Linked DNA regions of Oryzias latipes. The main gene of each other region encodes a partner of the protein of the gene in region 3 in a complex. Links are inferred from orthologs where the notes say so. Each region holds a gene or a part of one and is shown on either strand. Other genes may lie near its edges.

Evidence for each region.
Region 1: snrnp40 (region 3) and snrpf share a complex: the UniProt entries of both Homo sapiens proteins name them as parts of the U4/U6-U5 tri-snRNP complex. The link is inferred for Oryzias latipes from reciprocal best matches to the Homo sapiens genes SNRNP40 and SNRPF.
Region 2: snrnp40 (region 3) and snrpd3 share a complex: the UniProt entries of both Homo sapiens proteins name them as parts of the U4/U6-U5 tri-snRNP complex. The link is inferred for Oryzias latipes from reciprocal best matches to the Homo sapiens genes SNRNP40 and SNRPD3.
Region 4: snrnp40 (region 3) and lsm3 share a complex: the UniProt entries of both Homo sapiens proteins name them as parts of the U4/U6-U5 tri-snRNP complex. The link is inferred for Oryzias latipes from reciprocal best matches to the Homo sapiens genes SNRNP40 and LSM3.
Region 5: snrnp40 (region 3) and snrpe share a complex: the UniProt entries of both Homo sapiens proteins name them as parts of the U4/U6-U5 tri-snRNP complex. The link is inferred for Oryzias latipes from reciprocal best matches to the Homo sapiens genes SNRNP40 and SNRPE.
Region 6: snrnp40 (region 3) and lsm8 share a complex: the UniProt entries of both Homo sapiens proteins name them as parts of the U4/U6-U5 tri-snRNP complex. The link is inferred for Oryzias latipes from reciprocal best matches to the Homo sapiens genes SNRNP40 and LSM8.
Region 7: snrnp40 (region 3) and prpf31 share a complex: the UniProt entries of both Homo sapiens proteins name them as parts of the U4/U6-U5 tri-snRNP complex. The link is inferred for Oryzias latipes from reciprocal best matches to the Homo sapiens genes SNRNP40 and PRPF31.

Annotation. Positions count from the first base shown.
Region 1 is NC_019881.2:20,375,325-20,379,373, reverse strand, and holds the start of snrpf (small nuclear ribonucleoprotein F), read left to right. Parts: upstream 1-1,249; 5' UTR 1,250-1,384; coding exon 1,385-1,387; intron 1,388-1,983; coding exon 1,984-2,109; intron 2,110-4,045; coding exon 4,046-4,049. UniProt on the Homo sapiens protein: Plays a role in pre-mRNA splicing as a core component of the spliceosomal U1, U2, U4 and U5 small nuclear ribonucleoproteins (snRNPs), the building blocks of the spliceosome.
Region 2 is NC_019870.2:16,128,909-16,132,984, reverse strand, and holds the start of snrpd3 (small nuclear ribonucleoprotein Sm D3), read left to right. Parts: upstream 1-1,276; 5' UTR 1,277-1,406; intron 1,407-2,193; 5' UTR 2,194-2,214; coding exon 2,215-2,340; intron 2,341-3,792; coding exon 3,793-3,985; intron 3,986-4,076. UniProt on the Homo sapiens protein: Plays a role in pre-mRNA splicing as a core component of the spliceosomal U1, U2, U4 and U5 small nuclear ribonucleoproteins (snRNPs), the building blocks of the spliceosome.
Region 3 is NC_019869.2:21,982,921-21,987,191, reverse strand, and holds the start of snrnp40 (U5 small nuclear ribonucleoprotein 40 kDa protein), read left to right. Parts: upstream 1-1,471; 5' UTR 1,472-1,597; coding exon 1,598-1,708; intron 1,709-2,958; coding exon 2,959-3,088; intron 3,089-3,166; coding exon 3,167-3,260; intron 3,261-3,511; coding exon 3,512-3,677; intron 3,678-3,791; coding exon 3,792-3,914; intron 3,915-4,271. UniProt on the Homo sapiens protein: Required for pre-mRNA splicing as component of the activated spliceosome. Component of the U5 small nuclear ribonucleoprotein (snRNP) complex and the U4/U6-U5 tri-snRNP complex, building blocks of the spliceosome.
Region 4 is NC_019863.2:18,333,455-18,337,719, forward strand, and holds the start of lsm3 (U6 snRNA-associated Sm-like protein LSm3), read left to right. Parts: upstream 1-1,465; 5' UTR 1,466-1,548; coding exon 1,549-1,569; intron 1,570-4,265. UniProt on the Homo sapiens protein: Plays a role in pre-mRNA splicing as component of the U4/U6-U5 tri-snRNP complex that is involved in spliceosome assembly, and as component of the precatalytic spliceosome (spliceosome B complex).
Region 5 is NC_019863.2:23,629,254-23,633,482, forward strand, and holds the start of snrpe (small nuclear ribonucleoprotein E), read right to left. Parts: upstream 2,801-4,229; 5' UTR 2,632-2,800; coding exon 2,578-2,631; intron 1,393-2,577; coding exon 1,366-1,392; intron 1,284-1,365; coding exon 1,221-1,283; intron 530-1,220; coding exon 451-529; intron 171-450; coding exon 115-170; 3' UTR 1-114. UniProt on the Homo sapiens protein: Plays a role in pre-mRNA splicing as a core component of the spliceosomal U1, U2, U4 and U5 small nuclear ribonucleoproteins (snRNPs), the building blocks of the spliceosome.
Region 6 is NC_019881.2:23,243,759-23,247,857, reverse strand, and holds lsm8 (LSM8 homolog, U6 small nuclear RNA associated), read left to right. Parts: upstream 1-1,299; 5' UTR 1,300-1,501; coding exon 1,502-1,532; intron 1,533-2,585; coding exon 2,586-2,626; intron 2,627-2,715; coding exon 2,716-2,843; intron 2,844-3,561; coding exon 3,562-3,652; 3' UTR 3,653-3,999; downstream 4,000-4,099. UniProt on the Homo sapiens protein: Plays a role in pre-mRNA splicing as component of the U4/U6-U5 tri-snRNP complex that is involved in spliceosome assembly, and as component of the precatalytic spliceosome (spliceosome B complex).
Region 7 is NC_019874.2:19,364,284-19,368,400, reverse strand, and holds the start of prpf31 (U4/U6 small nuclear ribonucleoprotein Prp31), read left to right. Parts: upstream 1-1,317; 5' UTR 1,318-1,490; intron 1,491-1,759; coding exon 1,760-1,972; intron 1,973-2,052; coding exon 2,053-2,113; intron 2,114-2,203; coding exon 2,204-2,287; intron 2,288-2,381; coding exon 2,382-2,479; intron 2,480-2,676; coding exon 2,677-2,783; intron 2,784-2,916; coding exon 2,917-3,086; intron 3,087-3,181; coding exon 3,182-3,339; intron 3,340-3,436; coding exon 3,437-3,526; intron 3,527-3,601; coding exon 3,602-3,729; intron 3,730-4,117. UniProt on the Homo sapiens protein: Involved in pre-mRNA splicing as component of the spliceosome. Required for the assembly of the U4/U5/U6 tri-snRNP complex, one of the building blocks of the spliceosome.

The DNA.
Region 1 (4,049 bases), on a different chromosome or scaffold from region 3:
AGGAGAAAGCACCCACGGAGGGTGAGAGGGGCGTTTTTTTAAATTTTATATATATATATATATAGATATATAGGGAGCTGGTTTAGCTCGTGCTGGTTTGCGGCGCCTTCCGTCCGTGAAACCAGGGTTCGACTCCGGGCTGCTCCCTGTTCCCTTCTCTACTTCTGTGCCGGTCCCAAGCCCGGTTGCTTTGAGAAGGTTGCGTCAGGAAGGGCATCCGGCGTAAAACATTGCCAAGTTTACCATGCGACTCGTTCGCTGTGGCGACCCCTGATGGGAAAAGCCAAAAGGGAAACCAACCCTATCTATCTATCTATCTATCTATCTATCTATCTATCTATCTATCTATCTATCTATCTATCTATCTATCTATCTATCTATCTATCTATCTATCTATCTATCTATCTATCTATCTATCTATCTATCTATCTATCTATCTATCTATCTATCTATCTATCTATCTATCTATCTATCTATCTATCTATCTATCTATCTATCTATCTATCTATCTATCTATCTATCTATCTATCTATCTATCTATCTATCTATCTATCTATCTATCTATCTTCTGAAGATGAGACCCACCAACTCACACATTGATTCTCGCACTGTTTTCCCAACAATCTATATGTCATAAACACTTCTCAGCTTACTTACTTAGCCATTGCCTCCTTGGTAACCGCCTCGCACCATGATTCCTCTGTAGCAAACGTGAAATCTACCTGGCGTTGATACAGAGTGTGAGTGCCTGTATGGTGAGATGTCATCCACAGTTTTGGCATCTTCTCCAGCTCCAGGCTCAAATGAAACATTTACAAAACTAAAATCATTTTCTTACATTAAAGCTCGGTAATGCAAGCCTTTCAAATAAACAGCAGAATGTGAGAGTTCGTCAGCACATGTTGTCAGCAGCCTGGAGCTGATGACAACAATTCTATAATTCCATTGGGTTTTATATTATCTGATTATAAATCATTTTTAATTTCACTTATTTATTTATTTTTTGACATTTGGTCTTGTCTCATTGTTATAAAATAGTTTATTTATGTTTTTTTTCATAGTTTGTTTATTTTTTGTTGTTTACTAATTGTGTGAATGATGTTGTGTCATTTTGTAAACTGATTTTATTTATGATTATTTTATTATGACTTTATAAAGCAGATGCACTGGAATGTGATCAGAATATAGTCCGAGTCTTTTTGTTGCACTAATACATCCAGAACGCCAGGGGGCGACGTGAGGCGCGGCGAAAAGCTCGATGCCACTTCCGTTTCCTGTCGGCGGCAAAGCGTGCTTCTAGTTTGTGAAGCTAAAACGTTTTTGTGACGAAGACATAATAAACTTCTAATTTACTGTTAATCGGGTCTAAACTTAATCGAGCAAAATGGTGAGTAACTCTTCAAATATGTAATTTCACACGGCCTTTGGGTTTATTGAAGTTTGTTAAAACAAAGAATTTAAGAGAGTTAGCTCGTTTATGCTAGCCATGTTAGCATCCCATTCATAACTGGTTTACACAGCTCGTAGGGGAAAACAAACTTACACTAAAAACAAAACTTTAAAAATGAAACGGTTAGATATTCAAGTGAGCTTTTACTAAAGTGTTGTTTGTTTTGGGTAACGTGTTGCCGTATCAGAAAATGAACGTCCGTCGGAACAACACAAAACTATGACGTTCCTCTGCAGGTAGTAGTGTGGTCGAACATTATACAACAGATTAATAGAAGTATATAGGTCATTTGAATAATTAAACTGCTCCAAAACCGAATTTATGTACTGTTTCCCAATTATTCAATTTATTTTTTTAATGCAGTCCAGATTGGTTCTTCAGTCGCTCCTGTTGATGATTGGTGGTGTAAAGAAATCAGACGTGGAGACTGTCCATAACATGAATAACCCGCATACTTAAAGTTCTAAATATCTCATAGGGAAAAGCGTCATGTTTGCAGACTTGATGTAAGGTTTCAATCCCCTCTGCCGCAGAGTTTGCCCCTCAACCCAAAGCCTTTCCTGAACGGCCTGACAGGGAAACCAGTGATGGTGAAGCTGAAGTGGGGAATGGAGTACAAAGGCTACCTGGTGTCTGTGGACGGATACATGAACATGCAGGTAAAAGCAACTCTAGCTTCATTCACAACTATATCAGGGTTTATTCTGGGATTTTAAAATGCAGCTGCAACACAGAGGCAAACTACTCAAAAGTAAATGCAATTATTTATTCAATCTATTTTAAATTAGTCAAGAGTGTTTTTATCGTACTCAGTTTGTTATTATTATACATGTTTCTAAATGACCAACAGTGTTTTCAGTCTTCTATTCTGAGCATTAACTTAGACGACTGTTGGTGGAAAACCAATTAGCAGCTTTTCTTGTACCAGTTTACAATTTTTTTCAAAAATTCTAACTATCCTATCATATAACATTTTAATAAAAAAAAGTCGTTTAAAAAAAGGTCAAATGGCTCCTGTCGCATAGTGACAGCCTCTGCAAAGATGACGGAGGCTTTTTTGAGTTTGCTAAACGATCCTGTTCAGCAATTATTGATCAGGAACTTTCCGCTTCATCCAAGAGTCAAAAACAAACTCAATACAGTTTCTAAATGAAAACACTTCTGGTTTTTCACAATAAGATTATTCTGGGCACAAATAACAAAACATTTCTCTGAACCAATGAAGTCATTCAAACCAAATCATAAATGTTGTCTCACATTGTTATTTAAACAGTAAATAAGTCAAAACAACTCTAAACACTTATTTTTTTTAAGTATTTATCTGTGATGCTCATTTTTTGATCAGGGTTATCCGTAGTAATCACAACTAAAAATGTTCCAAATTTAGCTTTTTTGTCCTTCACTGAGCAATTAAGTCTGTAAGTCAGTCGCTGCAGCGGCCTGATACTGCATGAAAGTTGGCTAGCATTTCTAAATCTGGAACAACTTTTCTTACCAAAACATATCAAACCATTTTGTTCTATTGTTTAGATAGCAGCACATGTAGAATAAAAGAAATCTGTTTAAAAAATTGAGATTTCAGACCCTTAAAGCTCTCACACCAAACCGGTGTTGCTTCTCCATATTTTACATAATTCTTTGTATATTTAGATTTCATGAAATTTGACCTTTGCTAAGAAACTCTTGTTGTTTAGATGAAGGTTGTTGTTTAACTTTGTCATCTTTTATTATGAGATTTTAAAAGAAATACATTTGTTGTGTTTTACTCAGAGGAAATTACCATAAACATTTTACTTGTTTAGTTTGTAGAAAAAAAGTGATAAACGGCAGGAAAAGTACATGATTGTTGCAGAAATCCTCAGATGGAATGGGTTTTTACCAAACTGTGACACGCCACCATAACAGTAACATCTTTTCTTACGCTTTTCTAAGCTCTTCAGAAAAAAGTCTTATATCTGGACTTGTTTTTAAAATGTTTAATTTCCTGAAATTCCAAAGTAGATTCTTTGTCGAGTGAATTTTCTCAGGTTAAATATTAGTTAAAAAATGACAGAAAAATATAAGTATTTAGATGAAAACTTGGGTGCTGGAATTAAAGGTTAATCTTTTAACATTTGTAGAAAAGAACAGAAAATTTGCATTTGGTTATTTGGGAAACAGCAAAGAAATCCATAAGATCTTTTTTTTTTTTAATATTCTTGTGGCATCTTTCTCATGATGGAGAACACGTATGAAGAATGAATCAGGAGCAGAAGACAAAATGCCTTTTGATTAAGATCGTATTTGTGACGTTGAAAATATGGTGGGCGGGCAACAAGCTCCCTGCTCCGAGGGAAAGGGGGGCGGGGTTGCTCTGTACCAACAGTTTCGCCACAACAACAAACTGGGTAATCATAATTAGAACCACTGGGAAGGCTTTGACACTAGATCTTAAGATGATCAGAGCTGATCTTTAAACTAAACGTTATGAGTAGTTTACTGTTTAATCCAGCAGAGGGCGCCACAGAATGAACGTAAAATCTAACAAATCTTTAATTTGGTAGAAAAATGAAGAGAAGGTTTGAGGTTTTGACTTTTCTGTATGATGTCTGACAGCTGG
Region 2 (4,076 bases), on a different chromosome or scaffold from region 3:
TCTGAGTACAATCTATAGGTGTGCACTTTCCCCTACAAAGTGTTTACCTCTAAGTAAATCCTTTTGCTTGCTTGATCAGCAATTGGATAATTGCCTGGCAACAAAAGCTGACAACCCAGATCAACATCTAAGTGACATGATTCAAAGGCATCAGTGTAAACAGGCCTGTTAGCATCCACCCAAAACAAGTGCTTGTTTGATCTCTGCAAATGTCACTGCTCATGGCTGGACTGGAACTACGTTCAGAGTCAGGTTAGCATGCATTAAACGCCTGAAACCCTCATGGACACGTAAAGTAGATACACATGACCACACGCTGCACAGGTACAGGTGTTTACAGAGTAGCCTGTCTGCTGACGCCAGTCAATGACCCTGTTGCAATGGAAATCAAATGATGGTTCATTTGGTGATGTCTTTTATTATCCCATTATGCTTTGTCTTTCCTCATTAGAAACCTCTTCCAGCGTGAGAAAGCCCCGCATTAAGCAATGTTTATGCGTCTCACTGAAGTGGTAAAAAAGACTAGTCCACATAAATAAACACGCAAGGGTATGTATATGATACGTAAAGTCTGTTCATTCAAAAACTATGTAGAGTAAATGTTTATAGCTCTCTGTGGTCGATGAAAAAAATCCATTTGAATTGATTGAGTCGTTTCATTTTCATAATCTCTTCTTGCTGGGATGTTTTGACAAGCATATGTGCCAGCTATACACGTGTTCGGGATTCAAATCTTTCACATAAAACAAATAAGGAAAAGAGAAAAAACATAGTGAGGAGGATTATGGAAAAAAAACATGCACCACTGCAAGGAATCAATAAAATATTTTTACAAATATCTATCCAGTGTTCCATTATAGTTGATTTTTTCCAATGAGTAATCATCAAATTAAATTCATGTTAATCTAATTCAGGACAAATAAACAAGTCATTTTTTATTGTGTACATTTTTAATCTGTTAACGTTTCATGATTTCTATTTTTGTTTGAAAGTCCAATGTCCTATAATGATTGGTATTCCTGGACCTCTCTGAGGCCTTTTGATGAAAATTAGTTTTTATTTACTATTACTACTACTTCCAATACTACTAAAAAAGAATAATAATAGTACAAAAAATAATAACACTTATTATTATTATTGTTGTTGTTGTTTCTCCTTAACCATCTTTCTGGTAACTGGCTGACTCAAGTGAGTCTACATTCTGTTTGACCTAACACACCTGGTTTAGGTAATCAGAATCAACTACATGTCCCATAATGCACGGCGAAAAGCGCCACAGGAAACAAACGCTTTGTTGGTGCATTGTGGGTAAGCGGAAAAAAGGCTCAAACGCCAAGCTCAACGACTAGCCCACGTTGCTGAGCCGCTAAAAAGAACAACAATTCAAGAATTCAAAGGGAGTTGAAGTAAGACTTTAAACCCTAGCTACTAAAGCTAGCAAGTATTATATTGTGGTTGGTATTTAGCTGTGAATGTGATTCAGAATTATCGCTTTTTGTCTACATTGCCTCCCATTTGCTAAGTTTCGAATATGTCCATCGCTCCATCCATGCCTGATATTTAGCTTGTGTCTAAAATAATTTGCACGTTTGAGTCCCAACAATGTTGGGTGTGAAGCATTAACGTTAAATATATTGTGGTGGTTTACTTCCCACAGTTTTTAATTAATGTTTTGTTTCGCTTGAGGCCAGTAGTTGGTGGCTAGTTAGCTAACGTGGCTAGCTAAGCTAGCCATTAGCGTTACTACGTTTTAAAAGTAATCCCGAACATTTACCTGATTAAACTGTGTAATCCAAAACTGAAGAGTTTTCTGCAGCACTTGATTTCTCTACGTAGAAATAATACCGTCTTGATAAACAGTACAAGAAATAAATCACTAACGAGGTAGCTTAGCTAATGATAATGGAAACATTGTTATACTTAAGTGCCTTTTTTGTACGTTTTTTTTTGTGGGTGTAAATTACCTTATTTACAGCACAAAACAAGTCTTAAGTATGTTCTAACAGTAAATATTACTTCCAAGCCAGACACATGCAAACATAATAATCATAAAATTGGATGAATGAATTGCATGTTGTAGACTTTCAGTAGCCTTCTGTAAACAAAGACAATACCGTACGTCAGGTTTTGTGATAATACTGTATGTTTCAGTGCCCTTTACCGTATGTTTTGTCTTTTTTTTTAATTTAATAGCCTAGAAAGACCGTTTCCAAAATGTCCATTGGCGTACCAATCAAGGTCCTGCATGAAGCAGAGGGACACATTGTGACCTGTGAAACCAACACTGGAGAGGTTTACAGGGGCAAACTGATCGAGGCTGAAGACAACATGAACTGCCAGGTTTGTATGGAGTAACGTCCCCCCCCCAAAAAAAAAAAGCATGCCGTAAATTTCTATTTAGAGTTCAACTCACTGTACCACACTTGAGAAGAACATTTTAAATGTGTAAAGAACACAAGAATGTTTTTTTAATGGACATTTTATTGTTGGCTGCCCCCCCCCCCTTTTATTTCACATACTTTTTGGAAACAAAAATGCCAAAGGTATTTTAATGCAGTTTATTGCACCAACTCTTATTTAGACTTGCACATTTGTTTTTTTTGCTTTCACAGGAATAAGTCTAGAATCTACCAATTATAACAAGCAGGTGATGTAGAACTATTTGAGTAGGTTTGTTGAGAATGTAGTATTTTAGTAAAACAATTGCGGTGAGACAAACTCATGTTATACTTTCTTTCTTTCTTTTTTTTTTTTAAAAAACAGTTGTTCAACATGTTTGTAGCGAAAGACAAATCGGTTACTCCTCTTCGAAGAAAAATCTCTCCCGGTTTCTTTGTCCCTCAAAATCTCAGCCAACCACACGTGTGTAACGTATGATTGATTGATGTAGTGACTTAATTACTCAATGAGATCAATGGTGCTTTTACAGTCAACAAAACATACTCCCTTTTACTAATATGCATCAGGTCAGTGACCTGTAGGGAAAAACAAAAACCATAAATGATTTATCATTACCGTTGGAAGTAAATAGAAACACAGCACTAAGAAACCAAACGGCCCTGTGTGGAAAAAGGAAATTATGTTGGATTATTTTAAAGTTTTGGGACAGGTTGCCTTTATGACCTTTGTTTTTTTGTTGTTTTTTTTGGGTCTCTAGTTTTGGTTGCACATCTGTAACAAACAAATCTGGAATAACAATTTTATTTTATTTTGTAAATTTAAGTTGTGTTCTTTCTATTAACTGACCCAATTCACCCCCCCCCCCTAAAAAAATCTGTATAGTTATCTGGTCATATATGCACATTTGTCCTTGAAATATTTAAAGCCATTTTTCTTAAAGTATTGAGTACTGTAACTAAATATATTTCCCAAACATCCTGTCAATGCTGATAGTCTTTTCAAGCTTCATTAGTGCAGTAAAAGTTTAATAGACTCCAAATCTGTTTATTTCATTTAAAAGCAGAAATTTTGGTGGATAAAGCTCAGTGTGTCTTAAAAGTACTCTAAAGATAAGTGTGAAGGCTTTAACAAAACGCTAAATATTCTAAAACGTATATTCTGTTAATAATTGTAGATTTCTTATTAATCAAATGACAAATCAAAAAGGTTGTTAGAAATTATTTTAAGGGATTAAATGAAGTATCTACAAATGTGTTTTCAAATAGAGAACTGCATTGCCAAGTTTAACAGATAACTTAAAATGTTAACCTGCATTCCATTGAACACTGTAAACGTGTATCAAGCCATTTTACGAATCTAAGACCGGAACCATTTATTTCTATGTCCCAACAGATGTCCAACATCACAGTAACCTATCGTGACGGGCGGGTTGCCCAGCTGGAACAAGTGTACATTCGTGGCAGCAAGATCCGCTTTCTGATCTTACCAGACATGTTAAAGAACGCTCCAATGTTAAAGAGTATGAAGAACAAGAACCAGGGTTCTGGAGCAGGAAGAGGCAAAGCGGCCATTCTGAAAGCACAAGGTGAGTGGTTCCTAACCAATGCTGATAAATGGTGTGTCCACTTTTCCTTATTCTTGGTACACCCTGCTTCCTGAATGCTGTTTTTTTTTTT
Region 3 (4,271 bases):
AGATTGTCAAGTGAATTTCTTTAAAAAAAAGTGTACACTCAAGTGGAGCAGAGAAAGTAAAAATTCTATTTTAGTGAGTTTTCTCCTATTCAAAATCTTACAGCCTGTTTATCACTCCCTTAATTTGAGCTGAGCTCGCCACACAAATGTCAAATCTCTTATGCTCATCCTAGATTTTTTTTGCTCAAACTACTCTAGTTTTGAGATTTTGGTACCCACAAGTGAGGAGGTGCTCTGCCACAGTCATAAGTACCTGTTTAGAATCGGTATGTGCCAACTTTATACCAGTACTGTTTCCCAAAACCAAGTAGTTGCATTGTCTGGTACAAGCTGAAGCTGGTATACAAACTGGAGACCAGGTTTTTTATGTAACTAGAGATGATAACAGTAAAGTGAGTTTTCAGAGAAAACCCCTGGATGTTTCCTCAATCAGTCAGCACTAAGGTGGCATACATTGCCTTGTACAGATCTGCGGTCAGGGCTGCACTGTGACAAAGTGGTTAGCGCTTTACTCTAAATCTGTGCATGCGTGGGTTTTCTCCAGGAGATCCGGCTTCCTCCCACCATCCAAAAACATGCGAGTGGCCGGGTAAGGCTCTGACAGCCCCATGACCCCGAAAGGGACAAAACGGGTTTACAAAATGGATAGATTTGCCATCAGTGTTTATGCCCAGACAATTCAGAGAGCAGAGACCTTGAGGTGAAAACTTGCAATCCCTTTATCTTCGTGGTTTCCGACCAAACTCTTCCCTTTAAGACAACTTACTGCCTCTCTTAGATTTCTACATAATTTGGGAGAGGAAATGAAACAGCAATCTTCTTTCATCCAATTCACCAAACGAAAGTCATAAAAGAAAATGAATTAATTTCAAAGGTAATGTGGTTGACAGAAAGAGTTCGGTAAATTTTTAACCTCTGCTGTGCTGTTCACTTCTTGCAAATAAAGAATGACCTTGTGCCTTTTGGGATATTTATTTGTACAAATATGTGGTTGAAAATGAAAATTGTCATTCGTGTCATTTTAAACTACGATGAAGCCAACCTGTCGCAATAAAGCATTAACTTCCCGGTACCAAAGAAATATAATTACTAATTTTATTTATGTAAAAATTAGCTCAAAGTTGTTGTTTTTTAATAATCGAGCGAACAAAAAATCTAAGTTGACAACAAGACAAGTCAGCAATGAATTTGGTTAGCTTATAATTTCGTCCTCTTACGGTTTGTACCGTCAGTTCAAAGACAAAAGCTCAGACATGAACAGTATAGGCGTTTGTCGTGGTAGAACGATAAGGAAAATCACGCAAAAAGTATCTTAAGTCTTGAAAAAAGGATGAAAATATTACCTTTCGTGTGGTTAGCTGAACTCAGATTGTTGTACTTCCGGTGCATTGTCGCTGACAACGTCTTCATCAGCCAATCACAGCAGGAGATGGATGTTTAAACCAATCACACAGCTCATACTCACCGGAAACACTTCATCCTGATTTCTTCGTTGGTGCTACGCTTTTCTCGTTTCCCATGAAGGCGCAAATAGTCATTCGGTAAACCGTAGTCACAAACAAACTTATTTTTGTCGATTATTTGCAATTATTTCGGGATGATTGAACCAAAGAAAAGAGCGGGAGACATGGCGGTAATTCCCACCGCTGTGAAGCGAGCCCGGAACGAGCTGGTGGCGGCGGCACAGTCCCAGCAACTCGTGGCTACGGTACGAAAAGAATCAACGTTCACACAAAAAAACTCAAATTAGAGAAAATATATACACACGGGTGTTGACCCGCATTTGTATTATGCATGCTTTAAATGATGTAATCTAAAATTTACTCAAACACGACATTTTTTGTGGTGCACCTATTATTTCTTGACGTAGAGAACACATGACAACGAATAACAACACGAGTTTTCGCTAGGATATTTAATTTTTGGATGTAATGTTGCTTCTTTAAAATACGTATTATATTCGAAATCCCGTTGTTATCAACAAACTGATGGTAAAGGAACCTTTCCCAGTTATGGGTGTTTCCGGGGTGAACCGTGAACAGGTTACAAATCCTAGGCTAATGTTATGATAGAAAATTAAAAAATGTTATTTTTTTTATTAAGCATGAGTTTTGTGTATTTAAACCTTTTCCAGTTTGTAGATGTTTTTCTGTAAGTAGATATTTTGATTATTGAGACAAAACTATAGGATATTTAACAGGATAGATACTAAATCTTTTTTTTCTATTGTAAAAAATAAATAGCTTTTAAACACTGGGGTTTCATTTTAGCAATCATCTTTTGATGTTGCAAAAATCTGCATGACATATCACCTGCAACAGTCACATTCACAGTCACCCATGCACACACACATTCACACACTGATGGCGGTTTCGCTCTCTTACTGGCGCCAAACTATAACCACCAGAAGCAATGTGGGGTTCAGTGTCCTGCCCAAGGACATTTCCACACATGGGTGGGCAAGGCGGGAACCTAACCTGCGATATTCATGATCAGGTGGACCGCTCTGCCTCTGCACCACAAGCCCCTGCATGGAAAGTGTGCCACCATAGGGTGCAGAGGCAGAGCGGTCCACCTGATCACAAATATCGCAGGTTAGGTTCCCGCCTTGCCCACCCATTTGTGGAACCTAACCTGCGATATTTGTGATCAGGTGGACCGCTCTGCCTCTGCACCACAAGCCCCTGCATGGAAAGTGTGCCACCATAGGGTGGCAAGATCCTTTGTGTCACATGATCAATTTGATCCTTTACAAATGATCCATTTCCTCACTGGTCTGCTGCAGATTTGCATTAAACTTTGTGGACTTTACTCTGAAGCGTTCTGTGGCACATTAAGCCCAAACGCACTTTTATTTATCTGTCTTTTATCACATGCCTGTTTTCTTTTTAGATTTCACTTGGACTAAATCTGGAAGAAAAAAACAGAAAGTAAATTAAACTGACCTTTCTCCTCCAGGGTCCTCCTCGGACCTCCAGCCTGCAAGCTCCCATCATGCTGATGTCGGGCCACGAGGGCGAGGTGTACTGCTGCAAATTTCATCCAAATGGAGCCACGCTGGCGTCTTCTGGCTTCGACCGACTCATATGTAAGCAAAAAGAGGCAAGCTGCCGTTCTCCCGGCCTTCTTCTGTTGCTTTGTTCCTCACTTACTTCCTTTACCTCAGTTCTGTGGAACGTTTTTGGGGAGTGTGAAAATTACGCCACCCTGAAGGGCCACAGTGGAGCTGTGATGGAGCTGCATTACAACACAGATGGCAGGTAGGAAGAAAGCTGTAGATTTTATCTTTAAACTTCACCTTTAAATTGACATTTTTCTTGTTTTAGGTTATGTTTACAGTGAAAGTAAAGCTCATATTCTCATTGTTTCTTAGTCTTAGTTTGATTTCAAAAACTAAGGAACTTTATGGAACAAAAAAAATGTTCATCTGTAAATTTTAGGACTTGGAACTATCTACATTTCTTAAATAACCTTTCCATAAAATTTGACTGGATCATTTTTGTGCCTCCAGCTTGTTATTTTCGGCAAGCACAGACAAGACCGTGGGCATTTGGGACAGTGAAACAGGGGAGAGGATTAAGCGCCTGAAAGGTCACACTTCCTTTGTTAACACCTGCTACCCAGCTCGCCGGGGGCCACAACTGGTCTGCACCGGCAGCGATGATGGGACGATAAAGGTGTGACATTTTTATTTTAGGTGCAGTTATTTATTCTGAATGCTTCAACTGTTGAGGTCCCATTCAAAGTTTTTAAATGTTGCTTTATTGTATTTTTGTTAATCGTCACTGCAGTTGTGGGACATCCGTAAAAAGGCGGCAATTCACACCTTCCAGAACACCTACCAAGTTTTGGCCGTGACGTTTAATGACACCAGCGACCAAATCCTGTCTGGAGGCATCGACAATGACATCAAGGTATTTGGATTGTTCTAAAAAAAACAACAACCAGCAGAGTGTCCTTGGTTTTGTTTTGTAAGATTAACAGGAAGTCTGAAATCTCAGCTGCTACGTGGCTCTACTGTAGATGGCAAGAAAAAAGTTTGACATTTTATAAAAACTCAGTGTTTAAGGTAAAAACTTTCTGACATTTTGAAAGAAAAAAGAAATCAGTGATTTAGTTGTTTTCAATCCGTTTTAAATAACACATTTTATTAGTCTGCCATAAAGCTTAAATCAACGTTTTATCATGTGTTTGCCTTCATTTAAATGCACCAAATAATCTGATTCTACTTAGATAAAGACTAACATGTGAAAAAAAAAATTTCGGTTTCA
Region 4 (4,265 bases), on a different chromosome or scaffold from region 3:
CCATCTTCTCACCAATTACCCATTTGCCCTGAGCTGCTGAGCAAGCAGAAAAACAGTGTTAGTCCACCTGAAATTCTCACTGATTCTCAGTGAAGAGCAGTATAAACAGGAAACAGTGTGAACTGAGCGTGGAGCCTGTTTGCGGTGCTGTCTGAGCTTGTTGCAGGATCTCTTCCATCACAAAGCCATGATGTAGCTGAGGGTGGAATGGGCAGTACCACTGCTCTGATCTGCCTCCCCTCCCACTGACAAATCCAGTATGAAGAACTGGATCGTCCTGAGAAGAGAGGAGGCGCACACCTGTAACCCTACAAACACAACGCGGAGAATAGCAGCCTCACAGGACCAGAGGCTGTGTATGACATCACAAACAGAACGTCTGCAACCCATTTAGTTACATTAACCAGTCTAAACTAGTGATGTTCAATAAATATAGTTTTTTCCCCAAAATAAAATAATGACGCAATAAATCACAACCGCTGCATCATTTTATCTTTACTTAAATAGCATTTTGCTTTTTATTTTCCAACACTTGGTTGGTATCCTGTATACAAGAAATTGTTATTTTTAATAAAAAAAATAATAATTGAAAAGCAATTTATTTCGTTTTTCTGCTTTTTAAGTCCACCTATTATAATTTTAGACTGTTATTAAAACGATTTCTTATCTTTAAATGCAAGACTTTGAAAAGAGTAATCAATGAACATAAAATAGCCTTTTTTGGTCTGTTAGTTTCAATTAATAAATCGATTAATTATTTAGTGTAATCATTAAAAATAAATATTTGAATAAACTGCAGATTACATTTTAGGAATATATTCTCTCTTAAAAGAATTTTAACGGTTTTCTCACTAACGGAAAGCTTCATTATGTGTAACTATTTACATTTCATTTCTCGTTTACATTAACATTTCGCATACGGAATATTTCTAAACAGACCCGTTAGACACTGAATTCCCAATAACAGCTTTACTACCACTCAAAACGCTCTGGAATATTAGTGTAGACAGGACAAATACCTCAAAATGAACAGATATTTATGAATTAATTTACCTTCTCGCTGCTCTGCGCGGATGACACGACAGTGTCCTGTGAGGACAGAAAGCTCTGGAAAACGCTAAAGGACGGTACTGGATAACGTTGCCAGGTTTGAACATACACGCAACGCGTCGAGAGAAAGGTGAATTTCTTTTCTTTATAGTTTAGTCTTTTCAGTTGTTTCAATTTAAAAGTGGCAGGGATGCAACAAGGAGATGTTTGTGTTGTATTTAAATTTTAGGTAAGGACTATGTATGGATTTACACATACTTTAAATTTAGTCTTTTAAGGATGGATGTTGATACCATAAGTTTTAATAATAAACATTTCACATTCTCAAAGTACGCATAGATATATATTGTAAACTAATTATTTGTATAAAATTCAACTTTGTTGAACTGGAAATCGAGGGATAATTCGAAACGCACGTGTGTGTTGCCGTTTGAAATCTTAATTTCACCGGACCTGGCAACCTGCGTACCGGAATCGACGCGCGCATGCTCGAACAGTATGGCGGACGAAGCTGAGCAGGTTAGCGGTTCTTTCGCTAATTATATGTTTAACCTTACAACGAACGAACAGAAGCCCACTTTGCTTCTAAAAGTGCAGACTGCGCTGCACGCTGCATTATTTTTAAAGTGCTTTAAGGTTATTACAGGAACGTTTTTGACCTGTTTGGGGCCGTGGAAGCGGCTAACCGAGTTAGCCGAATTATTAGCCTTGGTGTTCCTGTGTTTCAATTGAACGCAAATGTTTGGTTTGAAACACAGTTCATTGCTTTAGTGCTAACCAGGCAGCTAAATAGTTTATACAGGAAGGAAAGTTTGTGTAAAATGTGTGGGGAAAACAACAGCTGTAGCTCCAGCCGTCGAGGGCATGCATTCTGCTGTGTTCATTAAACGGCCTTCTTCTGATTCTGGTTACCTCAGGTGTGTTTTGCTAATCAACAGCAGGCAGACTAGGACACCTGCCCTCGAGGACTGAAACTTTACATTTGAGGTTTCTACTCTCTGAAACGCTTGGCGTTTCTGGCTGCCGGCCGCTCTGGGAGGGGGGGGGGCGCCTACCGCGGCCGGCTGGGGGGCCGGTCGCTCGGGGGAGCCTTCTCCCCCGGTTGTGCCCATCCGCCCGCTCCTCCCCGCTCTCACCCAAACAAATATTGCACACAGGCACATAGGGCCCCGGGATCTGGATGGGAGGGGTATGCTGGCGGGGCTCACTGGGGATGCCCCTCTCTGGGTTCTCGTTGGCACCCGCCCTCCTCCCCGCTTTTTACTTGCATATTAGACACTCTGATTCATCTAGGGCCTTGTGGAGAGGGTCTGGTGGAGGGGGGCACGGTGAAACATCCGTGCTCACCTTTCGCTGGCCCCCCCACAATTTTAACTTCCTCTGTAGACACACACACTGCATGCTAGCAGCACACACACAGCAAATACACACCACTCACAGAGGGACTCCGGAGTGGGGGGCTTTGCGGCTTGGCAGCGGTGGAGCCCCCCACACTGGTGACCTCCTATTTTACCTGCAGCACACACACAGCACTCCCACACCTCCATACATGGGTGGGGTCGGGGGGGGGGGGCGGCCGGTCTTCACCCGCCTGGTCCTCTCAGGGCGGCCAGGCTTATGGGTGTCCTGTCGGCTGCGGGAGGGGTCGGGCATGCGGCGCTGGGGGTTGGCCGGCTGGGGGGGGGGGGGGGGGGGGGGGGTTACTGCTTGGCGGCGGGGGTAGGGAGGGTAACCAGATGATTGTGAGTATGTGTGTGTGAGTGCATGGGTAGGACCGACCTGGGGGCTGGCTCGCTGGGACCCTCTGGGGCTTTCCCTCCCAATCACAGAGAGGGGAGGGCACTGAGAGGGTTGGGGAGGGGGGGTCAGATATTATGGCGGGGGGGGGGTTGTAGTGCGTCGGGTTTTAGGGGGGTGGCTGTGGCTGCGGGTGCGTGGCGATCCCTGGGTTGCTAGGGTCGCGTGCCTGGGCTGGCTTGCGGGGACGGGGCGCTGGTCGGGTGGTGGCCGGCTCATGGGTTCCGGGGCCCTGGCTTCGTCCCTGGCCTTTGTCTCGGTGTCCGGCGCCCGGTGGCCCCCATGGCTGCCGCCTGGTACGGCTAAGCGCTCCTGTCTTGTGGCCTGGGGGCCGGACACTGGGTTCGCTTGTGCCTCTGGGCATTGGGGGGGCCCCTGTAGGGGGGCCCTCTCTGTGCCTGGCTGGTGGGGTGGGCGGTCCCCTCCTCCTCCCCTCCCGGGCTGCCTGGGTCCGGATGCTGGGGGGGCTTCTGGCCTGGGGGGCTCTCCTCCCCTCTCCTGGTCTGGCTGGTCTGGCTGGGTAGGATCTGGCTCCCTTTATGAACACACGGTTCACGTCGGCAGCATGCATGTATCTCCACCCCCACGTGCACGTGCACACTGCCACACTGCTCCCTGTCTGCTTCATCCCTCCTCCTTACCTACAGTGTATTGATGGACAGTTTTTTTTCCGCTCATCTTAGTGTCAGATTTTGACCTTTGATGTAACATTCGTCTTTCCAGCAGATCTGGTATAATTGTTACAGCTTAAATTAATAACTTAGTCAAATCAGTGCTTGTATCCCCCACCTTTTCACCTTTCTTCCTTTTACTCTCTTCCACCCTCCCCTCACATTCTTCCCCTCTCCCTCCCCACACACACTAAATGTAACAAATAAATAAAAAATAATACGACAAAAAGGGGTTTATACAAATCTACACTCTAGTTTCTTGAAGCTATATAACCTCTTTTTGTGATAGTAAAACCTGTCCAACACAAAAAGCCTTCAGCTCTAATCTGTTTGCTCAGAAGTTGGACAGAACAAGTTAGAAAAAAAAAAAAAAAAAAAAAAGATTAGTAAGCAAACTGACTTTCATTCTAATCACAAGGTTTAGAATTTTTAGTCACCAAAATGTTTTTTTTTTGTCTTTTATTTTTATTTTTAATGCTATACTCTTAATTTAACAGTTCAAACACATTCACACAGGTTACCCAAACGCCAATACATGTAATCTGCCTTCACTTGTTTTGCTGAAACCCATGAGATTAGTAATGCTTTTATATTAAACATATATAAATGTCACAAAACAGTCGTTTTTGGTGTCTTAAATGTAGGTTGGATGTTTCAACATTTTATTTTGATTGCTGAATTAAAAACTGTGAATCACAAGTTGATTTCTGTGTTGTCAAATTGTGTTGAGATGGGAAAAAAAGTAGT
Region 5 (4,229 bases), on a different chromosome or scaffold from region 3:
GAAAAAAACAAAGCCATTTATTCTCAAAGGTTGTAGAGAAACTCACATTTATGCATAAAATCGTAAGCAGTTAACAGAAAAAAAAGACAGGATCTGCAGTCGTCACTGGTGTCACTAGGTAGAGACACTCTGCAGCAAGGTGATGTTGTCGCCCTTTAACATAACCCGACCTGTGAAACAAGGAAAGAAATTTATCTTGACATTTTAAAAACTGACATTCCTGAGTGTATAACAAATAAATACTGACTGGAAAAATATTTCTATGTTTTCCTCAAACAAATATTTTGTTACAGCAGTTCTAGAAACAAAAGCTAACAGTACATGTTAATAAATACAAAGAATATTCAAATTTTTCATTGTAAAATAAATAAATAAAGCTGTTCTAATAACTGCTAAGATCAAAAAATAGTAACTGAAATTTAACAAATTAAACAAGCTAAAGAGTCTTACCCAGTGGCTTTCTGTTCTTGGTCTTCATGTGGACCTCCTCAGCATCATCTAGAACCAGGTTCATGTACTCATCAAAGCCCTGGAAAATAAAATAAAAAGGAAATAATCAATTAACTACTTTCATAACTGAAGCTGTTTGGATTCATTTAAATTCAGGCTCTCAAGGTTTTTCCCCCCCAAGAAAACGGCACAGGTTGTTTGTTTTTATTTCGGCTAAAAACAGCATAATCATAGTTAAAAGATCACCGAGAATGTTCTGAAAATAGATTAAAGTGTCAAGAGTGTAGGACCGGCAATTTCAATTGGTCTCCTAATTCATGCTTAGTTTGTCATTATGCTGTTCTCATTGATCATTTACCTACTGTATTGTGAGTCTGAACCAGTGTGTGTTTTTTTTGTTGCCGTTTTCAAATACATTTTTAAATCAGCTGCAGAGTTCTGCTCTACTGGTAAGAAAGGTGCCCGCTGCAAAAGCAGCTAAAACAGAGCCCCAAAATAGTCGTAGAAAAAATTTCTGCAAAACAGTTTTAAGTTGATTATTGTGGATCTAACACCAGCCATTAAGAACTTTTACCAAGCTCCAATAAAAAAAATAACTAAAATGCTAGGTCAGTGGTTCTCAAACTTTCTCTTGTTCCCCCTTTTGGAGCGGAGAAGGAAAACCTGGAATCGTCGATCGTTTTTACAGTCTATACCAGTTTTAAAGTAACTGTGGCACACATTTGGAAAGTTAACAAACACTGTGAAAGTAAAATAAAGAGAAATCTTACAATGATGCAGCCTTCTATCCGCATGTTCACCTGCTCATAAAGCCACACCTGGATTCGTGAGCGCTGCAAAGCAAAGATGACACGAATCAGTATTTCAGTCACCACCGAGACAAAAGGTGAACCTGCAAGAGCCTTCAATACTCACGTTCTGAAGGTATCTGAAAATGAGGTTCTGATGAACAGAGTCAAGGAAATGACATGTCTAAACCGTTTCAATGTTACAGAAGATATTTCAAATAACATGAACTAGTCATTTCAATTTCAGTAGAGTGACACAAACTGTTTTGCACTTTAACCGGAGAGCTGAGATCCTGTTAAATACCAGTGAATGTCATACATTTCAATGTAAGCCAGTGAAAAAGGACTTCACAAACCAATTACATGACCGAAATGATGAAATAAAGCTATGGATGACGCAGAATTTGCTCGAAAGTCCCACTCAGATCATTTTGATCTATTTTTGAAGTATTATCGGCGGTCTTTTAACGTTAGTTATGCCTTTTACCAGCTTACAGAAATTCTGCAATTGTTCTAGAGTTTTACAGTTTACTATTTAACTTCTGCTGATGTATCCACGTTATAACGTAAACTGTAGGGCAACCATGTCAAAACAACTGAAGACACGCTTAAAAATGGATTTAAAACGGGTTCTGGCATTAGATTTTCTCTTATTTATTGACTTTGTTAGGGGTTTTTTTACGAGTCAAATTTTAATGGTATTCTTAATTTCTTTAACATCTTTTTTATTTTTTTATAGATGACATGTCACTTCATAATCAAGAAAAATAAGAAAACAGGTCTCACACACTCACAGGGACAAACTTGAGTTAAGTTAAAAACCAAATAAAAAACTACAAAATATGACCAATTGTTACAACAAATCAAAAGAACATTTAATTATCAGACCAAAGTAGTGCATTTAACTAATATTATTAGTTTAAGTCGTTAAGTGCAACATCTCGATTGTTGACTTCTTTTTTCACTAAAAGAAAACTCTGCCAAAGGTAAACGTGTCATTGTTTTCTTCTTTCCAATTAAACAAACGTATTTTTGTAAAATGTATAATAGTAAATTGATAACCCATCATATTGCTATGTACGTTTAGAAAATGCTAAAAATGTTTGTTTCAAATTCAATTTCTTTCGAAGTACAACGTCGTGCTTAAATTTGATCGATAAACAGAAAAATACGTGCTTCAATACTGAAATTAAAAAAAGTCAGTAAATATGCATTCCAATGTATTTAGAAAGTCATGTAGTACCTAGAAAAAAAAGGAATACAGTTTACCGATGAGCAAACACGAGAAATAACCGATTAGCATCGCTGCTAACAAATGCTAACAGCAAAGAAAGGATACAATGGGCTGCACCATAACCTTCTGCACCTTCTGTCCTTGTCCTCGGTAAGCCATTCTCTTCACACGCAAAAAAGACACGCAAGAAGTATTTCGTTAAAGAAATATTGCCTTTTACAATTGAATGATTTCAACGTTCAGCTCACGATGCCAAGTTGCCTTAATGGCGGGTTTCTTTCCGCATCCGGTTCCTGCACTGAAAGGTTTCCCTTCACCGAACAAGCGCCACCTACAGGCAGGATGTCAATACTGCACAATTTGATATTTGGTCAAAAATTACGTTCAGTGTGAAATCCTTCAAATATGCAGACTAATTATGACTTATAAAAAGTATGAAAACACATCTGGTACCAATTAAAAGGCTAAATTTAATAATTAAGTTGTTTTTGAGTCACCATATTTTTTGTCAACGTCTGTTTCAGTACATATTTATTTCTTAATCCTGAAGGGAAAAATACAAAGGTTTTGCTTCGACTTTTTTCTTGTACATTTTCAGTAATCGTTTATTTTTGCTTGGATTAATTTCAGTGATTAACACAAGTACCAATAATATTTGAACAGCTTTCATATAGCAGAAAAGAAGGTTTAAATATTGATACATCAACTAGTTTGGATATAGCGTCATTTACTTCATAGATGTTCAATTGTTGGATGTATATAGTCTAATTTATCATTTAGATTTTTATTTTTTTATTTTCCTATTACACATAATATTAACAAGCATACAGATATGTAATTACTGTAGTTGTTTTTGCAACACAAATTCAATAAGTGAAAATTGTTGATAATTTTTGTAATTTTTCCATAATTGTTCAAACTTTTTATTATTATTATTTTCTTACAAGTAATTTTGTTTTCAATATTAGAGTTTAATTTTGTAAACTATTTCCTAAACATTTATCTTGACCAGGTTCTACTGTCACAGCAGTGACCTATTTTATCCAAAAGAGGGCAGCAGAGAAAAACAAAAACATAAGAAACAACTCGAGCCCAAGATGAACATTAGTAAAAGGTTTCACTTCACTTTCCTTATAAATAAACTTAAAGTTCTAATCTGAGTTCTACAATAAACATTGTTAAAAAGTGCAGTCGATTTAAAGAAGTTGTCTATAAAAGTATTTAGTCAAGAAGGTGAGAGGTACAAATGATTCTTCTTGTTCAGTAGTGTTCTTTCTTCAAAAAGGTTTAGAATTTATCGCATAACTTTTGTTTTTGATTAAATGTGAAATATATTTTCACCTGCAGATGCAGACCTATGAATTTAGCAGGAACATGAGCTCCATTGAGGAGTGTTTTTTCCCCACCTAAGATTTTTGTGAGCTAAATTAAGAATATAAAACATAAAAACATGTATGTGACTTTCTAATTACATGTGTGTTAAATTAAATTAAATTAAACCCCACTCTCTCTCACACACCTAAGTGTGCGAAATTTGTTTCCGCATTTGACCCATCCTGGGGGAGCGGTGAGCTGCAGACACAGCTGCACTCGGGAACCATTTTGGTGGATTTAACCCCCCCAATCCAACCCCTTAATGCTGAGTGTCCAGCAGTCTTTGGTATGACTCAGCCTGGGTTTGAACCCATGACCTTCCAGTCTCAGGGCAGACACCCTAACTCTGAGCTGGTTAGAGAGAGATTATGCAGATGATTTTA
Region 6 (4,099 bases), on a different chromosome or scaffold from region 3:
CACTCACTCACGCACACACGCACGTGCACAGCACTGCCATTTAAATAGTGGGTCAGAGTCGTTTTCATGTAGCTTCACCAACCAAACTGTATGTTTGTTTTCTTTAAAGGAACAAGGATGTTGTAAAGTATTTTTGTACAAATTTAATACTTTGGTAGCATGAGGTTCCTGGTGTTTGTCCCAGTCCCGTCAGCCTTCATTCACCCCCCACCTCCCACCCCACCTTCTGTTTTTTTAATACTGAGCAACAATAAAGTGAGACGGGAGGCTGTGACTCCACATGTGGTCTAACATTAGCACATGCATTCAAACGTGTCTGTTTGGGTTTCCTGTCATGTATATAATGTTTCACATTAAACTGAACTAAAGTTTTACATTTGTAAAAATCTCTGAGTCAAAATCTTCTTCAGGAAATCTTAATTTCTCTCTTGATCATCCGAGGTCGTCCAGGACGCAGAACAGATGATCAGGTGAGGTTCTTCAACCGGCCTGGTCTGAATGTTAAAATGGAGATACGTCTCCATTTATATCCCATCATCCCTTTGTTTACGCTCTCTCCCACTAGCTTACAGCCCCTCACAACCCCAACTTAACTTTACTAGTGTAACCGTACAGCAAGCAGTATCAGAGCTTGCCATCCATCCAGGTCTGATCCAGATTCCAGTTCAGACCAGGAGAACGACGACGTTCATGGATCTGGTGGATGATCAGAAAGGGGCGGAGCAGGAAGGCTGTGGCCCCGCCCATCTTTGTTGCTGCGTAACAACTGGGAGTTTTTTTCAAATGGCATTTTTTTTGCTACTGATTTACGATTTTAATAAAGAAGTACTTAGAAACGCAGTTTTATCTTAAATAATTTTATATATGCTCTCCATTACGAGAAAAATGCTACAAGAACATGTTAAAAACATCACATCAGAGTGGGTCTTTAAGGAGAAACTGAAAACTAGGCTAGAATTAGTTTTGGATCCTAAACCGTTAAGAGAAACGTGAAACCGGATAATGACCACATCTAATGATTGGTTCTGATGATGCTGGAATGTGTGAAGTATTTGTTACAAAAATAAATTTTAAGAAAAACAGCCTGAAAAGTTCAGATTGGAGCTGTCATTTCATTTAATTGTATGATTATTTGTTTAATTAAGTTCTTTAAACAAACACTTTTTAAAGCAGATTTTAATAATGTGTGAATGTGTGAGGATGGAAATTAAAAGTAAAGAACAGCTCAAAAACAATTTCTCCAAACTCCGTCCCAGGTGGTGACACTAATGCGCCAGCAGGGTGTTTGCTAACCGCCAAAAGAAAACACAGAAGAAGAAGGAGGACATGCGCATGCGCGCTTTGACGCCTCAGCTCTATGAATCTGTGTGAGATTAGCTGAGCCTGGCTGTTGTTAGCTGCCGCCGTTAGCCTGTGCGGTGTTTTTGCGGGTTCTCTTAGCCTGTTTCAAACGCAAGTCTTCCCGCCAGCTGGATAAATAAAAAAGGAGCTCCGGACAAACATGTCCACCGCGCTGGAGAGCTACATCAACCGTATCCTTCCGCTGCTGCTAGCGGCTAACAGGCTAACCGCCGTTTAAATGAATGGAGGGCTAACTGCTAGCTTAGCGCGCTAACGAAAACTCGTGTTTTGTTAAATATAAAGAGTGTAATTTAAATGTCTATTTAGTAGGCTTAACTAAATTCATCTTTAGATTTCAAACACTGTTTATTTTGTGCTTTTGTTCGGGTATCGTGCAAAAATAAGAATTTGTAGCCTTTTGGGTTATTTTCAGCAGAAAGTTTAAACCAGATTATTTTTCTTATCGTTTCCTGATTATTATTCATCGATCATTGGAGAACCGGGTTTGTCAGTAGAAGTAAAGAATAAATAATTAGGAGAAATGCTCTTTTATATTTCCTTAGATTATTCCTAGAGATTAAAGAGATTTGCATGAATCTCTTTAGTTCTGGAGGAGGATCTCCTCACAGGAACCAAAACATTCTGAGAACTTCATGATGAATATCAGGAATTCTACTTCTAAACCGCTTTTATTTTCCCAGAGTTCATCTTTTTGAAAACATGCTGCTGGTTTCCCCGCGTGTCTTCAGTGAAACTGAATCTTATCTTACAGATTCGTGCTAATTTCTCCTACATCCCATAATTAAATTCGTATTTAAATCAGCTGCAGAGAAGTTTGTTTTGCTGAAAAGCAAACCACAAAAAAACAGTAAAAAGTAACATCACACTGACTCAGTTTAATCAACTCCAATAAAAATTGTGTTTCTGATTTCAATTAGGCAGCAGTGGATGCAGTTTATTCTCAGCAACAGAAAAGCAGCTGTGAAGGTTTTTGTTCTTTGAGGCTGAATCTGTACAGCATGTTGTCTTTTCCACCAACCAGAAGTCGGGGCGGGGCTTCGGTCACCTGGGCTCAGTTTTTTCTTAAACTTTTTCTCTGCTGGTATCTGGAGTCCAGGGGACTTTGGATCCGACACTTCGCTCTGAACTCAGAGGAAAAGCTGCTGTAGAGATTTTTGAGCTTCCTAGAAGCTGTGAGGTGATGATGTGTTCTGGATGAGTTTCTTTGACCGATGCTGGCTCAGGTACGGTGGCCATCGTCACTTCAGACGGCAGGATGATCGTGGTGAGTTCAAATGCTCCTCCTGTCCTCGGCTGGATCCGCTCTTTTCGGTTGGAGCCCAGCCTCATTTTCTCATTTCTGATTCTCTTCAGGGAACTCTGAAAGGCTTCGATCAGACCATCAACCTCATCCTGGATGAGAGTCACGAGCGCGTCTTCAGCTCCAGTCAGGGCGTGGAGCAGGTGGTGCTGGGACTCTACATCGTCAGAGGAGACAACGTGTGAGTCTGAGACCGCCGGTCCTCCCATCAGAACACAGAGAAACAGGAAACAGTTGAAGACAGTTGAAAGGACATTTGATCTGAAAACAGCAGGTAAAAGCAGCTCAGCAGCAGAGTAGAGCGTCTACCTTCAGCCCGTGGGTTCGAGTCCACAGGTCGACAGAATCCTCCCCCTCCAGGGGCAAAGAGCCGCTCTGATGAAAATGCTCTTCTTCTTGTAGAGGTTTTCTGATGATGGAGGTCATAGATTCAGATCATTGAGATCAATTTCTGAGTTTTTCTTTAATCAAATTGTTGTGAATCAGGAGCAGACGAAAAAAATGCTGATGGGAAAAAATTACATTTATAGCGTAGAAAATACTCTGGGCGGGGCCACAGTCTCCCTGCCCCGCCCCTTTCTGATCATCCACCTGCAGACCAACAGATCCATGAACGTCTGTTCTCCTGGTCTGAGCTGGAATCTGGATCAGAACTGGACGGGTGGACCTGATGTTGCTGCTGTTTTTGTTGTTCCATTAATGTTAAGATGGGGGGGTGAGGGGCTGTAAGCTAGCAGGAGAGAGTGTAAACACATGGATGATGGGAAATGAAGATGGGCTCACTCTGCACTGCGAACCATCTGAAAATAGATCAGAAGCTGGTGGGAGTGGGACTTTAGCCCCCCAGCGGGCTCTAAAGGTCATTCTGACGGCGTGGCGATTCTTTTTTTCCTCATCAGAGCGGTGATCGGTGAGATCGACGAAGAGACCGACTCCACGCTGGACTTGGGGAACATCCGAGCCGAGCCGCTCAACTCTGTGGTTCACTGAGCTCACCGTCTCCACGGCAACAGTGGACTCAGGGGGAGGGGTCTGCTGCAGCGGGAGCCGTGGAGATGAAGATCTGAGGGTGATCAGAGTCTTCCTCCTCCAACAGACTGTTCTGATGTTTCCACGTTTGTATTTTTATAAAGGAGGTTTGAGTCACGGTCTTCATCTCCAACAGAGAAAAGTTGAATAACGTTGGATTTGATTCTTTTCATTTTGCTTTAAGGTGAAACCAAGACTCAAAAAAAGACTTGAGTTTGTTTTAAAGCACAAAGTTCTGCTTTTCTTCAGCTCCATGTTCTCGTCTTTCAGGGAAGAACAAATAAATGTGTGAAAATGTTTTCCTTTTAGAGCTTCTGTTCTGAAAACTTTATTAGCTATTTTTTTTAAACAGACGTTTATTTTATTTAGATATTTGCTTTGCTTTATTTGTGATCATGGAAACTTGAA
Region 7 (4,117 bases), on a different chromosome or scaffold from region 3:
ATAATTTTACTTGTTAATACTTGCCAATCTGTACTGTACTGAATTATGTCTTGTAATGTTTCCTTATTTTCATGTTTATATTATTAGCAGTCTTGTCATTCTTTATCTTGTTTAATGACCGTTTATGTAGCTTAGCATGACAGAACAGTTGCTCATCAGTAAATAAGACCATTTGCTTGTGTATTTGTTAATTTATTTCATTTTCTACTAATAGCCATCAATCATGCAGCTGAGGTCCAACTAGTCCATTTGTTTAGTCTGTTTAAATGTTGGTTTAAAATTGTATTGTTTAAAAACTGGGTTTCAAAGGGGAGGATGTACAATAAAAACTACAAAATGTGAGCCTCTTATCCAATACGGGTCATGTCCCAGTCATTGTTCATTCGTTCAAATACCTCACCAATTTGTTGCAAGGGCAGGGTCCTTTCTGAGTCCCTATATTGTGTCAATTAGAAGTAATATTTAAATATGTTCTACTGAAAGCAGAAGTCAGTTACAGAATAAAATGTATAAAATAGAACAGTTAATAAATATAAGTCTAATAAAGTGGGAAACCACAATTGGTCAAAGCATAAACGTCCATTGATAAAGAATTTGTGGCCCATTGTTTTGTGAATGAAATTTTGATTGTAAAGGTAATTGTCTTATTTCTATAAAGTTTTTGTGTGCTATGGTGAAGTATCATAATTTATTAAAATTGTTGTAAAAAAAAAAAAAAAAAAAAGTTAACCAAACTCTAGTTTCCTGAATGCAAGACTGGTACTTTGCTGCCATGTATGTATTATATTTTGTGTGTAAATATTTTAAAACGCAATTTAAATATAAAATGTAAAGTTTTTAAGTTCTTACTTTGTCCCATCACTTTTGAATACGTTTTTTTTAACAGTTTGTCACAGAAACTTACTAGTCATTTATTTAGTTATTTGTTGTTGTTTTTTTAACTTCTCTTCCTATTATGTACAGGTAGCTTTTAAGGGTCTAATAAATAATATAAAATAAATTAAGAATAGAAAAATATTTTTAAAACAATATTTTAAGAACTACAAATAAAAGAAGAGTTATAGTAAAGTCATTTTCGGAATACTAGAAAAAAACCTGTGTTTTTATTTTGTGGCCTGAAATGTAACTCCTTATTCGAATAAATATGTATTTAGTTGCGACCTACTACACATTTTTTAAGAGAAGGTAATTAAAGCAACCAAGTAAACTCATAAAGACCGAACATTCATTTTTAGAAAGAAGCCCGTATGTTATTTTCTCATCTCTTAAGGAAAGGGGATACTTACCCATAATCCCATGCGGAAATCGTGACGTATTTATTCTGCGACAAACCACCCGGATCGTGAGCTTTATGTTGTAAACAGGAGCAAGAAGCCGCACAAGTAGCATTACCTATATTGGCTTCTATTAGAACCCTTCCTGTCTAAAGTGACTTTTAAAAAAATATAAATATATTTTTGTTTTGTTTTACTTCATTTTGAAAGTGCGACGTAAGTTACTATTTTTCAGTGTTGAATGACGTTTGGTGAACGTTTGCTAACTTTAGCTAGCTAACACAGAATAGCAGACTGATATCAGTTTTTGTTTTTTTCAACGGGATGTTTATAAAAAATAACACTGATAGACTTTCGTTAGATCTACTTCCTTTTGAAAATAATTGCAATAAACACAAATTTAACAACTGCCCACACTTTTACTCTCGTTTAAGCTGAAAGATGCATTGTTAGAAGATGGATCATGAATTTTACTCTGATTGCAGATGTCATTGGCTGACGAGCTTCTGGCTGACCTGGAGGAAGCTGGAGATGAGGGGGAAGATGGGCTGTACCCAGAGGGGGAGGAAGGAGGGAGTGATGGAGAGGGGGCTTCAGGGAGGACAGAAAGACTGGAAGATATCCCCGAAGAGATGGAGGTGGACTACAGTAAAACTGACAGCATTACGTCTATCGCCAAGCTCCGCAATAGCAAACAGGTCTTTGTTTAGCTGACTCTCATAAAGAGTTCCTTTTTTTCACTACCTGAAGGCAGTCCCTTTTAACTGCTTGTTTTCAGTTTTCAGATATAATTGAAAAAATATCTGGATATATTGGAAAACAGCGCAAGAATTCAGATGGTGAGTGTTGAAAAAATGTGCATTTTAACAGAAAATGTTACTGATTTACTTCCATTTCTTTTTCTCCTGTTTACCTGTATTTTCTTTCAGTTTCAGGACCAGTTGAGGCTGACCCAGAATACAGGCTGATTGTTGCAGCCAACAATCTTACAGTTGAAATTGACAATGAGCTTAGTGAGTTGGACTTTTATTGTGCGACAAAACCTAATGAAGAAATTGGATTCTTTCAACTGAAAGTGTGAGGTCTGTGTTTCTCCTGTCTTTTCAGACATCATTCACAAGTTTACAAGGGACAAATACTCCAAGAGATTTCCAGAGCTTGAGTCTTTGGTTCCAGATTCTTTAGATTACATTCGCACAGTCAAGGTTTGTTGATCTTAAAAGATAAGTTTGGAGACGTTGAAGTTACCGGATATCAAATTTTTGATTTTGTTTTTCTTCTATTAAAAGAAAAGATTTGCTGAATGGTTTCCATTATTCTGCATAGGTTTGTTTTTTTCTTTTTGCATCTAACCTCTAAATCTTCCCCCTTTTTTTGTTGTAAATGTGTGCTTCGTATAAAGGAATTGGGAAACAACCTGGAGAAATGTAAAAACAATGAAACCCTGCAGCAAATTCTAACCAATGCCACCATTATGGTCGTCAGTGTCACTGCATCAACTACACAGGGGTAAGTTTAAGAATGTTGGTACTTGTGTCCTATTACAATAAACTTTTTTTTTTAACATTTCCATTATTATGTCTGTTGTTTATTTTATTTACATAGACACTCCCTTTATATATTTTATTGTTTTCCTCTTAAGGTCATTGCTAACGGAAGATGAGCTGAAGCAGCTTGAGGAGGCTTGTGACATGGCTCTGGAGCTCAACCAGTCAAAACACAGGATATATGAATATGTAGAGTCCAGAATGTCCTTTATAGCTCCAAACCTGTCAATCATTGTGGGAGCATCGACTGCAGCAAAGATCATGGGTGAGGAAGTGAAACTATCTAGAAAATATCAAGTTTTTTTATGCCCATACATTTTTTTTTCTTACTTTTGAATTTTTTTCCCTGTTTGGCTGAAGGCATTGCTGGAGGCCTAACAAACCTCTCAAAGATGCCAGCCTGCAACTTGATGCTGCTGGGAGCCCAAAGGAAAACTCTGTCAGGCTTCAGTAGCACATCGCTGCTTCCTCACACGGGCTACATCTACCACTGTGATGTTGTGCAGTCATTGCCTCCTGTCAGTACACCATATTCAAGAATAACAAGTACCTTTTCCACATCTAATGTTTGTTTGCCTTAGTTATCTCCTTTCCCCTTTTGTTCTCCCCCCTCAGGACCTTAGGAGGAAGGCAGCTCGTCTGGTGGCCGCGAAATGCACTCTGGCTTCTCGAGTAGACAGTTTCCACGAGAGTCCAGATGGAAAGGTAAACATCTCAAATTAAAGGAACATTCAGAAATATAATTTCTGTCTCTGTTATTCAACTCCCTTTGTAATGCAGGTTGGCTATGACCTAAAAGAAGAAATAGAGAGAAAGTTTGATAAATGGCAGGAACCTCCACCAGTGAAGCAGGTCAAACCACTGCCAGCCCCGCTGGACGGACAGAGAAAGAAGAGAGGAGGAAGGAGGTCAGTCACTTATGGTTATTAGTATTTGATAGAATTGCCTGTAAATTCATCAAAACCTCTGTTTGTATTATAAATATAGTCAATGGCTTCAAAACTATTTAAGGAATTTTATAATTCTCAAAAACTGCTCTTTTGCCAGAGTTCTTTTAAAAATATGCTGCAATGTAATTGTTGTTTTAAACATCTTTGATATAGAAATACTTTTGTCTAACAAAGAACTAACTAAATGGAGAAATACAATTATTTGGACAGCCCTACTCAGTTCATTTTTGTCCAATTAGTTTACTTTGAAGTATTTTGTAATATCTTAAACTGCAGTACAATCAATTAATCTGCATAATTGTGACAAATGTTGAATTTATCACAGATGTAATGTTTTAGTGAAAGA